4 linked regions of the Saccharomyces cerevisiae S288C genome follow. The main gene of each other region encodes a partner of the protein of the gene in region 2 in a complex. Each region holds a gene or a part of one and is shown on either strand. Other genes may lie near its edges. The genes, in order: MRPS9, MRPS17, MRP10 and RSM26.

Region 1 (2,955 bases), on a different chromosome or scaffold from region 2:
AAGAAAATTATTTAACTACATATCTACAAAATCAAAGCATCATGCCTTCGCAAGTCATTCCTGAAAAACAAAAGGCTATTGTCTTTTATGAGACAGATGGAAAATTGGAATATAAAGACGTCACAGTTCCGGAACCTAAGCCTAACGAAATTTTAGTCCACGTTAAATATTCTGGTGTTTGTCATAGTGACTTGCACGCGTGGCACGGTGATTGGCCATTTCAATTGAAATTTCCATTAATCGGTGGTCACGAAGGTGCTGGTGTTGTTGTTAAGTTGGGATCTAACGTTAAGGGCTGGAAAGTCGGTGATTTTGCAGGTATAAAATGGTTGAATGGGACTTGCATGTCCTGTGAATATTGTGAAGTAGGTAATGAATCTCAATGTCCTTATTTGGATGGTACTGGCTTCACACATGATGGTACTTTTCAAGAATACGCAACTGCCGATGCCGTTCAAGCTGCCCATATTCCACCAAACGTCAATCTTGCTGAAGTTGCCCCAATCTTGTGTGCAGGTATCACTGTTTATAAGGCGTTGAAAAGAGCCAATGTGATACCAGGCCAATGGGTCACTATATCCGGTGCATGCGGTGGCTTGGGTTCTCTGGCAATCCAATACGCCCTTGCTATGGGTTACAGGGTCATTGGTATCGATGGTGGTAATGCCAAGCGAAAGTTATTTGAACAATTAGGCGGAGAAATATTCATCGATTTCACGGAAGAAAAAGACATTGTTGGTGCTATAATAAAGGCCACTAATGGCGGTTCTCATGGAGTTATTAATGTGTCTGTTTCTGAAGCAGCTATCGAGGCTTCTACGAGGTATTGTAGGCCCAATGGTACTGTCGTCCTGGTTGGTATGCCAGCTCATGCTTACTGCAATTCCGATGTTTTCAATCAAGTTGTAAAATCAATCTCCATCGTTGGATCTTGTGTTGGAAATAGAGCTGATACAAGGGAGGCTTTAGATTTCTTCGCCAGAGGTTTGATCAAATCTCCGATCCACTTAGCTGGCCTATCGGATGTTCCTGAAATTTTTGCAAAGATGGAGAAGGGTGAAATTGTTGGTAGATATGTTGTTGAGACTTCTAAATGATCTTTTGTAACGAATTTGATGAATATATTTTTACTTTTTATATAAGCTATTTTGTAGATATTGACTTTTTACGATTTATTTGTAACAATGAGAATTACTCCATTTCTGAACTTCAGTAAATAGCGAGTGATTCTGTACTTTGCGAGAACCGGTGGACATTTGGTATTTTGCCTTACAAGAACAACCTATACAAACGTTTCAATATCTAATTCTTTGTAATCCATTGTTTTACGAGACATATAATGTGATATATAGATGAACTTTACGTATAAAATGATATATTTAAAACTAGCAACTGCGTGCGTAAGACAAACTGAAATAGGCCATTTACGGAAAAGAAATTTAATAATGTCGACTGGAAACTGAAACCAGGAGGAGTAGAAATTGGTTAAATTGATTAGCTAAAATTTACTCGTTGTGGACAGAGTTTGAGCCAAGCGGAATGTTTTCAAGGCTTTCTTTGTTTCGAAGGGCAGCTCTGGCTCCTGCCCCTATGAGAATGTCTTTTAGGACTATTTATCAAAAAACCGAGGATGAATTGCCCAGAAGGATCGTCCCAAAGCTAGCCACATTTTATTCGGCGAATCCTAACCATGAAGATCGTATTAATCGACTCGAAAGACTTCTAAGGAAATACATAAAACTGCCATCTCAGAACAACAATGAAGCACAACAAACAAAAGCTCCTTGGATTTCTTTCGATGAGTACGCTTTAATCGGCGGTGGTACGAAATTAAAGCCTACGCAATATACTCAGCTACTGTATATGTTGAATAAACTTCACAACATTGATCCTCAACTTACTAATGATGAAATCACATCCGAACTATCCCAATATTATAAAAAAAGTTCAATGCTTTCCAATAATATCAAAATCAAAACTTTAGATGAGTTTGGAAGAAGTATAGCCGTTGGAAAAAGGAAAAGTTCCACTGCGAAAGTATTCGTTGTTAGAGGTACAGGTGAGATATTAGTTAATGGTCGACAATTGAATGATTACTTCCTTAAGATGAAAGACAGAGAATCAATCATGTATCCACTTCAAGTGATCGAATCAGTTGGAAAGTACAATATTTTTGCGACAACGTCTGGAGGCGGACCTACGGGTCAGGCTGAATCAATCATGCACGCCATTGCGAAAGCTTTGGTTGTGTTCAATCCATTATTAAAATCCAGACTACATAAAGCTGGCGTCTTAACAAGAGATTACAGGCACGTCGAAAGAAAGAAGCCAGGAAAAAAGAAGGCAAGAAAGATGCCAACATGGGTCAAGAGATAGTCTTAGTGCATCTTGTTACCTCAATTTCGAACGGAAGCGTGCGTGCTCTGAGTTTTTTGACACATGCCAGAAGAAACGTTATATATTTTGCATACAACGCCGCCCAGCATTAGAAGCACAACTCTCGTTCGTTATTCCTGTAAATAAAGTTATATGTATTCGAATATTGCTCAGTTAGTATTTTCTTCTACTTACTGCACATAATACTTCATCTTTTTTTTCCTCTCACCCGCAAAGCAAAGGGGCCTTGCAGCAATGACTCAAATTCCATTGGAAAAAAGAAGGAGATGATAAGATGCAAATCAGAATAGATTTTACTATGACCGTTACATGTAAAAAGAGTCATAATATAAACCATAAATACTACAAATAACACCGGGTTCAGGCATATAAATAAACTATTCTCCTGTAATATCCCACAATATTTTGTTATAACCCAGACGTAATAGCCTCAAGCGAGCATCCCTAAATTTCTGCCATGAAGCTGATCCCAATTATTTTGAATGCTAAGAATCTCAGTGGGATGGCTGGATCCATATCAATATGCTGTTGGATTGTTGTGTTTGTACCACAGATTTA
Region 2 (2,984 bases):
AAACACAGTAGCTCGAAGCAACATTAGCCAGTAAAGCTTGAGCGGTACATATATTTGAAGTTGCCTTATCACGCTTGATATGTTGTTCTCTTGTTTGGAGGGCCAACCGCAAGGCCGTCTTGCCTAAGCGGTCTTTAGAGATACCGACAATTCTACCTGGAATTTTTCTGTTTAATTTATCAATAACAGCGAAAAAAGCAGCATGAGGACCACCATAACCCATTGGGACACCAAATCGTTGAGAGGAACCCAGGACGATATCAGCACCGTAATGAGCAGGTGGTTTTAGAAGTGTCAAAGCCATTAAATCTGAGGCCACAGAGAGCAAAGACTTGTGAGAGTGTAACGCATCAGATAACTGTTTCATCGAGTCAGGCGGTAAGATTGAACCATCTGTCGCTGGATATTGAACCAAACAACCAGATACGTCGGGGTTCTTTAAAACATCCACAGCTTTCTTGATATCCGAACAGTCAACTTCAATAATTTCAATATTGAACGGCTTGGCTCTGGTGTGAAGGACACTCTTTGTTTGCTGGTGTAATTTTTTATCTATTACGTATTTTAGTTTCTTTTTTCTGGAAATATTGAATGACAAGAGCATAGCTTCTCCAGCCGCTGTACCCTCATCCAACAATGAGGCGTTCGCCACAGGCAAACCAGTCAAATCTGAAACAACCGTTTGAAAGTTTAATAGCGCTTCTAGCCTACCTTGAGAAATTTCGGGTTGATAGGGCGTATAAGAAGTATACCATTCTGGACTTTCTAGCAGGTTTCTTTGTATAACCGGTGGTAAAATCGTACCGTAGTAACCCTTACCTATGAAATTTTTAACTTTATAGTGGTTCTTATTGGCAATCTTTTCTAGATGTTGAAGCATTTCTTGTTCACAGAATCCCTTACTAGGAGCTTCTAGTTTCAAGGGTCTTCTCTTCAAAATATTGGGAGGAACGAGCTCTTCTATAAATGCGTTTAAATCGCTATAACCCATTGTTTTTAACATTTTCTTAACGTCGCTAGGAGAAGGACCTAAATGACGTCTAGCAAAAGTATCTAGCGGTCTATCAATGTTTTTCAAGTCAGGATTGAAAATCCTGCTGTACTGTGTAGACGTTATGTCTGTAGCGGCTGTTTTGAGCAAAATAGATTGAGAATGGAATGATCTAGTCCTCGCTAATGAAACATAATTGGTGCTTGACCTGACAGTAGCCCTACAAAGGAGAGCAGTCACTCTTGTCCTAAGCATGTTATCTTCCTGGTATTAGGAAACGTTTTTCCAATAAACTGTGGTTAGTTGATGGTTAGATCGCGCAGCAATCAATACAGTAAGATTGGTACACACGAGAAAGACTAATTCACTGGAACTTGAAGAGAAGAAAATTGTGCCACTCGAGCCTGCTATATATACATCCATTTATATTCGTTGGAGATCTTTCGACTAGCTTATCAAGGTCCTTCACAGCTCAATGCTGACTTCGATGACTCCTCTGAGAGTCATGACTCCGAAAAGGAGGAGTCTATACCTCAAGAAGAGTCAGAGATGTCGGGTAACGATTCAACCGGGTAACATGATTGTTATTTCATAAGATTAGAATTCTGAAGCAATTTGGGATTGTGCCAAACCAATGCGAGCATCAAACTGTTAGAGGAAATCCACAAATAAGGCCAAACAGAAGTAAACTCAGGGAGTTGAATTCGGGTTAGAGATTTCAAAAGTCAAATCAAGATCAGTTAAACTGTAATGGCTCGCCAAAATTTTTTAGGCTTGGTCGTCTCCCAAGGGAAGATGCAAAAGACGGTTAAAGTACGTGTAGAAACAAAAGTCTTTAATAAGAAAATCAACAAGGAGTTATTTCATAGAAGAGATTATTTAGTGCATGATGAAGGTGAAATATCAAGGGAGGGTGATTTAGTAAGGATAGAAGCGACGAGGCCGCTTTCAAAGAGGAAGTTTTTTGCCATTGCAGAAATTATTAGAAACAAGGGTCAACAATTTGCATTATACGAATCAGAAGCTCAGTTAAGCGTTGCAAAAGAAGAAGCCCAAAAGGCAAAAGAATTTTTGGATAAAAGATCAGTGAGGGAGAATAAACTAAATGAAAAAACAACCCTTTTACGTGATATTAGGACCATCCAAGATGCTTTATCTAGCGGGTCAACGCCGAAAGAGTTATTGGAGATTAAACAAAGGTACGGCATTCAAGATTTTTCACAAGAAACAGTGAGGCAACTTTTACAGTTAGACATCTCTGGATTGGAGGTTAATTTGGAGAAACAAAGAAGTCTCATTGATCGTATTCAAACGCGATTATCCGAATTGTTGTCGAATGATCTAAAATGTGATCAATTTTTGAAGGATCATGGTGTTGAGGATCCTTTGACCTTGAAAAAAAACATCAAAAAAAATTTGTTAAGAAAGCACGTCATGATGGATATGCAACAACCAAGCCAGTAAATAAAAGAAAGAGGAAAGCCGAGTGTCATATTTTCTCAACTAAAGCACTACACTCTGTAAATATATACAACTACAAGACTTCGTTACGTAAATAGTAAAGTGTTATGTTTTGACTTTAAAATATTCTAGTGAAAAGAACGATGTTTTTGATTTTCTATCGTTTAACGCATTTATATATTTTCAGGCAAGTGATATCGAAGATGTGAGTACATCGCTCGTCCCCATCGTCAAAAACAAAAGTAAATAAAAGAGCTCTGCTCTGATTTTACAAACAAGAAAATTCCAAGGAAATAGTCCAAGTTTTATATGACCCCACCTCATTTTTTTTTATCTCTCATAAAAAAAAGATGCATATGCTGGATATGTTTGGAAGAATCCACATATGACTCTACATGGCTACAGCACACGTGCGGTTGCAACTTACAAATTCATAAACGCTGCTATATAAGATGGCTCTATCAAATGCATGTTGAACTTTTTCTTCCGAACACAGTGGACCTACCAAAGGATGCTGATTTACCTATAATCA
Region 3 (2,685 bases), on a different chromosome or scaffold from region 2:
AGTTGCTAGAGAGTTTAACCACGTTAATGGACTGAACCTTATTGCCCGGGCTCACCAACTGGTTATGGAGGGGTTCAAGTACCATTTTCCTGAAAAGGACGTTGTAACCGTGTGGTCCGCGCCAAATTACTGTTATAGATGTGGTAATGTCGCGAGTGTAATGAAGGTCGATGAGGATCTGGAACCTACTTTCAAAATTTTCTCGGCTGTTCCCGATGACTACATAAGAGAATCCACGGCAAACCATAATAATCAAAGAGCCGGCTATTTCTTATAACACGACGGCATGCCCTCCCTAACTCGACGAATAAAAATAATTTTCACAATAAAAAAAAGACTACAAAAATCAGAAACTTTTTCATTACGCCATTTGCTACGATACGATACACAACAAGCACATTCTAAGAGCATTCCATTTACTATGGTCAAAATGACCAAATAAAAAATTAAAAAAAAAAAGAAGGAATGAGAACTAGTAACTACATATTCAACAATTGCAGTTTTCTTTTCCTTTTTGTCCTTGTCCTTTCTTTCCTATTTATATATATATATATATATATATATAATACTACTATGTTATATTACATTATATTATTATCACAATAATTATTACGTTCATCGTGCCGAAACGTCACCTCCCACGGTTTGGATCTATTGAAAGAGGGTGGAATCCCTGATAATAAAAAAACTTTAATCAACACTCGGGAGGGGAAATATAAAAGACTGGCGCTACTTAAAGAGCTGATTCGCCAAGGCAGAAAAGCATAACCATATTAAATCTTCTCCTTCAAAGCTAGCACGCCTTCCAAAATGACCCACAGCTTGAAAGCTCTATTCGCCTTGCTATTTCTTTACACAGCTGCTGTCAATGCGGGTGTGATTGGCATATTCAACGCCCTTCCCCCACCAAACACCAAACCAATTAACGGCGAATCTCCACTTTACCAATGTGACATTCTAGACAAGCAACTTGTGGAAATCAAAGAGGTCAATTTGGACCCTAACCCTCCTGTTCGTGGCGAAAATTTGACTATTTCTGCTAACGGTGAGGTCTTTGAAACTATAGAAGAGGGGGCATATATCGACGTTGAAGTCCGTCTAGGATACATCAGACTGTTATCCCAGACTTTTGATTTGTGTGAAACATTAGAAGATAACGATATCGAAGGCTTATCCTGTCCAATTGAACCGGGTGAATACAACATTAAGAAAATAGTTGAGATCCCAGGCGAGGTTCCACCTGGCAAATATGTTGTTGTAGCAAGAGCTTACACTGAAAAGGATGATCTGATCACTTGCTTAACCGGAGAAGTCATCTTCCCACCAAGGTGATCTGATTCATACAACTCATTGATCCGTGTTTATTTCCCTTCTCGTTCCATGTATTCTTTTCTTTTACCCCATGTTCTCTTCACCCGTTCGAGGCAGGGTTTTTCCTCTTTTTGTTATAACCACCATCTAGTCGAATGTGGTTACTCTTAATATTTTTTTGTCGGCCAATGCTTCAGCGCCTTTGTCAACACCTACTTCTTTTCCATTCCTTTCCTCTAATTAAAAATCATCTATTTAGTGTGTACGTATTAAAAACATGTCATTACATTGATATCTCATTGCAAAATTTCTCCCTTACGCACATCTTTGGTTATTATATATGATGACAGGTTCGTTCTCCGGGTAATGCGGACTTTACATATTAATTCTTTTCCCAGTATTTTAGGCAGAATATAAAAGCTTTGAGGCTTTAAGTGAGACAAAAGTCTTACCATAGCAACACGAGGGCTCGCCGAAACTTCCATCTAAAATAAAGAGTGCCCATTAATGTCCGGAAAACCACCAGTTTATAGATTACCCCCTCTTCCCAGACTAAAAGTGAAGAAACCTATCATTAGGCAAGAAGCGAACAAATGTCTTGTTTTAATGTCAAACTTATTACAATGCTGGTCTTCATATGGTCATATGAGCCCTAAATGTGCTGGCTTAGTAACGGAATTGAAAAGTTGCACTAGTGAAAGTGCCCTCGGCAAAAGAAACAACGTTCAAAAGAGCAATATTAACTATCACGCCGCTAGGCTGTATGATAGGATCAACGGTAAACCCCATGATTAATTTTATATCCAAAAGCAGCAAGAATGAAAACTTGATAATATTAAAGTCATGGCCTTGTATATACAAATTAAATAGTCTCAACGGAAAATATATAAACTTTTAATCTAATAGTAACATCAGCATTTTATTTTCTTTCCTCCGTTAAACCGTACTTAATTCTTGATCCTGCCTGCTCTCTCTAAAGTGTCATCAACCAAATACCAGCCAGGATAGTAATTGTCATGGTATTTGCTGAATCTTTCCTTATCCACCACGGAAATAGGTGACGTGTTTATAGCGGAACTACGTTCGCCTTCTGCGTCCTTGCCAAATGCATGAATGATTTCCCATTCAAAATGCAAGGCTGGATTATTGGAGTCCTTTCTCAAGTGTGGGTTAGGCAATGAGTTGTTAATTCCGCCGATTGATGTGAAACCTTTACCATATAGTCCACAAATTGGCTCATTAGAATACAGTAAGAAACTCCATATATTGGTTAAGTCCCAGTGTAAGAGAGGTTGCAACCTCATAAAATCAGGCCAGTTAGAATCTGTTCTTTGAATAGGCTTTAATGCTTCACCAAATGGGTCTGTGTGTCTA
Region 4 (3,093 bases), on a different chromosome or scaffold from region 2:
AATGAGGACATCCAAAGATCTGTATCACAGGTATTTATTGATGAAATTTGGTCGCAAATGACCAAAGAAGGCAAATGCTTACCGATTGACCAAAGTGGTAGGAGAAGCAGCAATACCACCACTACGAGATATTTTATATTATGGAAGAGCTTAGACAGTTGGGCTTCTTTGATACTACAGTGGTTCGAAGACTCTGGAAAACTGAATCAAGTCATTACGTTATACGAATTGAGTGAAGGTGATGAAACAGTCAATTGGGAGTTCCATAGAATGCCCGAAAGCTTGCTCTATTATTGTTTGAAGCCCCTATGCGATAGAAATAGGGCCACAATGCTGAAAGATGAAAATGATAAAGTAATTGCCATTAAGGTTGTTTAAAACACGAGCGAGAGGATAAAATAAAACTATTTACAGTATATAAGATTTTGGTAGATCCCCTTCTACCCGATACCTTTATAATTACATATGAGGGTAAGAGGCTATCGCTTCCTTTCTTTTCATTACTTCGATATACCAGAGAATATCCTATTATTTACCACTGACCAATTCAAGTTATCTAGAACATTCTTCACGTATTTGGACCGGTTACCAACGCCATAATCATGTAAATAAGCATGATCCCACAGATTGACACAGATTATAGGCATGGTCCAGTCTTGAACCTTACCATTCAACTTAGTAGACTTTCCTATCAGTTCTTTCATTTGTTTCAAGGTAGCAAATTCATCGATGGATATCGCACTGTTTAAATCAAATGACTGGTTCCTGGGAAAATAATACGGCGTACCATTATTATTGCTCGTTAATATGAAGAGTTTTTTCTCATTGTTTTCAACTAGAAATAACCAGCCTTGTCCCAAGACTTCATTCTCAGCACGGTAAATCATTTCCTCCTTCACTACTTCCCAATCGCTGCCGTTGAATGAATCTTTGATTTTGGATAAAAAAAGCCTAGAAGGCTCTGTCTTCACAACGGCGTTCGAGTTAGTGCCATGTTCAACAGCAGAAGGTAGAATGTTCTCCACGAATAAATGGTTATTATGGATAGAGGACGCCAAATTGAAGATGTTTGACTGTAATGGATTTCCTGCAGTTTTCAGCAATATGTGAAATGGATAATATGATTCCAAAGACTGTCCCGCTGTCGCCAGCGTTAGCTTATCACATAGATATCGCTGGTAGTCGAACCACACCGTCTTGAATCCCGAAGAACTGAGTATATTAGGCACTCCATTTTGCAGTAGGGCCTTAGAATTTGGTAGTTTAGGTACTACGTGAATACCCCTTTTGAAAACAAGCATTTCTCTGCGTCTTAGTTGCGCCAAGAAGACGATATTATGTGGTCTTCAGAAATTTGCCTGCAAAATATCCTCTTATTGTGAAAAGACTTTTGCTATACCCTTCTTACTTTTCCATGCTTTGCGATACTTCTTGCTCAGTCCAAAAAAGTACTGCGGCACCTCTCCTAAGATTCTTGGAAAGATGGGAAGTGAAAAAAAAAAATACAAAAAATAATGAGAGCTAAGGGATTCGAACCCTTGCATCCGAAGATATCAGAGATTTTAGAGGTTAAATCCACCTAAATCTGACGCCTTAAACCACTCGGCCAAACTCCCATTGTTTGTTGAATGGACTTCATAAACAATCGCATATCATTGATTGGTTACTTTTTAAGAAGGGATTGATGCCAAAGTCAGATGGTAACCATTGGATCAAGTGATAACACGTTTAAATGAAACAGTACCCATTTCTATAGACCAGATACCACGGAAGGATTACTGTAGAGGTGAGATATGAGATAGAGGGAATTGCCATTCGGTTAATAGCATATATAGGTTTTTATATGGAAGATTTGTGGGGCAATTGATTACCTTGTCAAAAATATATATAATATCTTGGAGCTGTAAAGGAAAGGCAATGTACAAAATCGACCAAGAGCTTTACTAAGTCTGGACAGTCGTTTGTCTGCCGATGTGGAAAAATAGCTTTCAATATAGTTATAGGAAGAATTTTCATAACAAGTGCGCGGTCTTGTTCCCCTTAACAGGTTCCGAACCTAGTATGGGAGAGGTTTCATTGACTTCGTTATATACTTCATTCAAGTTTGTAAGCCTACCGGCAATAAGGATTTGAAAAGTACGAAATGAAAAAAGACAAAACAAAAGAAGATTAAAGGTCAAACATAAAGGATAACACCGACATGCATAGAACGGCAATATTTCTAACTTACCGATCATGTATGAGAAATTTCAGTACACTGAGTAAAACATTAACGGTTTCTTCTGGTAAAGTAATCAGAAACGGTCCATTTAGGAGAGTAATTCGTGAAAAGAACCAAATAACGAAGGCGCCATCAGTAAAAGCATTTAAAGAAAATAGCAATAGCGGGATAATAAAAGTACATGATCCTATAGCTACTACGATACTTAATGAACCGACAGTTATTATCGAAAGGCAAATAGAATTTATGAACGTTTTTCTAGGTTTCGAGCAGGCTAATAGGTATGCCATAATGGATGTGAACGGAAACAAAATAGCATCAATGATGGAAAGAGATTTTTCTATAACAAAGGCCATAATGCGGCAGTTTTATCGTCTACATCGTCCTTTTTTGGTAGATGTCTTTGATAATTGGGGAAATGTAATAATGACGATTAAAAGGCCCTTTTCGTTCATCAATTCTCATATAAAGACTATCATACCTCCTTCCGCGTATGTTGATAATGGCAGTGACTCCACTCACTATCACGACGGTAAAGAAGGAACGACAGTAGGAGAGACCATTCAGAACTGGCATCTCTGGAGGCGTCGTTACGAATTATTCCAGAAAGATGGAGTAGAAGGATCCACTTTTGACCAATTTGGTAAGATAGATGCACCTTTCTTATCATTTGATTTTCCTGTAACAGATGCTGATGGTAAGATAATGGCGAGTGTAGACAGAAATTGGGTTGGTTTAGGAAGAGAAATGTTTACCGATACTGGTGTTTATGTTGTTAGATTTGATTCGCAGAGATGCTTTGATAATATTTATCCTACTGAGATGCTAAGTTCTCAAGTACTAACTTTGGATCAAAGGGCCGTGTTATTAGC

The links.
Region 1: MRPS17 (region 2) and MRPS9 share a complex: the UniProt entries of both Saccharomyces cerevisiae proteins name them as parts of the mitochondrial small ribosomal subunit.
Region 3: MRPS17 (region 2) and MRP10 share a complex: the UniProt entries of both Saccharomyces cerevisiae proteins name them as parts of the mitochondrial small ribosomal subunit.
Region 4: MRPS17 (region 2) and RSM26 share a complex: the UniProt entries of both Saccharomyces cerevisiae proteins name them as parts of the mitochondrial small ribosomal subunit.

What each region holds. Positions count from the first base shown.
Region 1 is NC_001134.8:533,721-536,675, forward strand, and holds MRPS9 (mitochondrial 37S ribosomal protein uS9m MRPS9), read left to right. Parts: upstream 1-1,539; coding exon 1,540-2,376; downstream 2,377-2,955. Other genes in the region: alcohol dehydrogenase ADH5, read left to right, coding at 42-1,097; RTC2 (cationic amino acid transporter), read left to right, coding at 2,855-2,955. UniProt on the Saccharomyces cerevisiae protein: Component of the mitochondrial ribosome (mitoribosome), a dedicated translation machinery responsible for the synthesis of mitochondrial genome-encoded proteins, including at least some of the essential transmembrane subunits of the mitochondrial respiratory chain.
Region 2 is NC_001145.3:635,762-638,745, reverse strand, and holds MRPS17 (mitochondrial 37S ribosomal protein uS17m MRPS17), read left to right. Parts: upstream 1-1,741; coding exon 1,742-2,455; downstream 2,456-2,984. Other genes in the region: GCV2 (glycine decarboxylase subunit P), read right to left, coding at 1-1,246; YMR187C (uncharacterized protein), read left to right, coding at 2,762-2,984. UniProt on the Saccharomyces cerevisiae protein: Component of the mitochondrial ribosome (mitoribosome), a dedicated translation machinery responsible for the synthesis of mitochondrial genome-encoded proteins, including at least some of the essential transmembrane subunits of the mitochondrial respiratory chain.
Region 3 is NC_001136.10:370,430-373,114, forward strand, and holds MRP10 (mitochondrial 37S ribosomal protein mS37 MRP10), read left to right. Parts: upstream 1-1,818; coding exon 1,819-2,106; downstream 2,107-2,685. Other genes in the region: type 2A-related serine/threonine-protein phosphatase SIT4, read left to right, coding at 1-277; NPC2 (sterol transporter), read left to right, coding at 811-1,332; FAD1 (FMN adenylyltransferase), read right to left, coding at 2,259-2,685. UniProt on the Saccharomyces cerevisiae protein: Component of the mitochondrial ribosome (mitoribosome), a dedicated translation machinery responsible for the synthesis of mitochondrial genome-encoded proteins, including at least some of the essential transmembrane subunits of the mitochondrial respiratory chain.
Region 4 is NC_001142.9:616,442-619,534, reverse strand, and holds RSM26 (mitochondrial 37S ribosomal protein mS42 RSM26), read right to left. Parts: upstream 1,302-3,093; coding exon 501-1,301; downstream 1-500. Other genes in the region: ESCRT-II subunit protein VPS25, read left to right, coding at 1-378; AIM25 (Aim25p), read left to right, coding at 2,201-3,093. UniProt on the Saccharomyces cerevisiae protein: Component of the mitochondrial ribosome (mitoribosome), a dedicated translation machinery responsible for the synthesis of mitochondrial genome-encoded proteins, including at least some of the essential transmembrane subunits of the mitochondrial respiratory chain.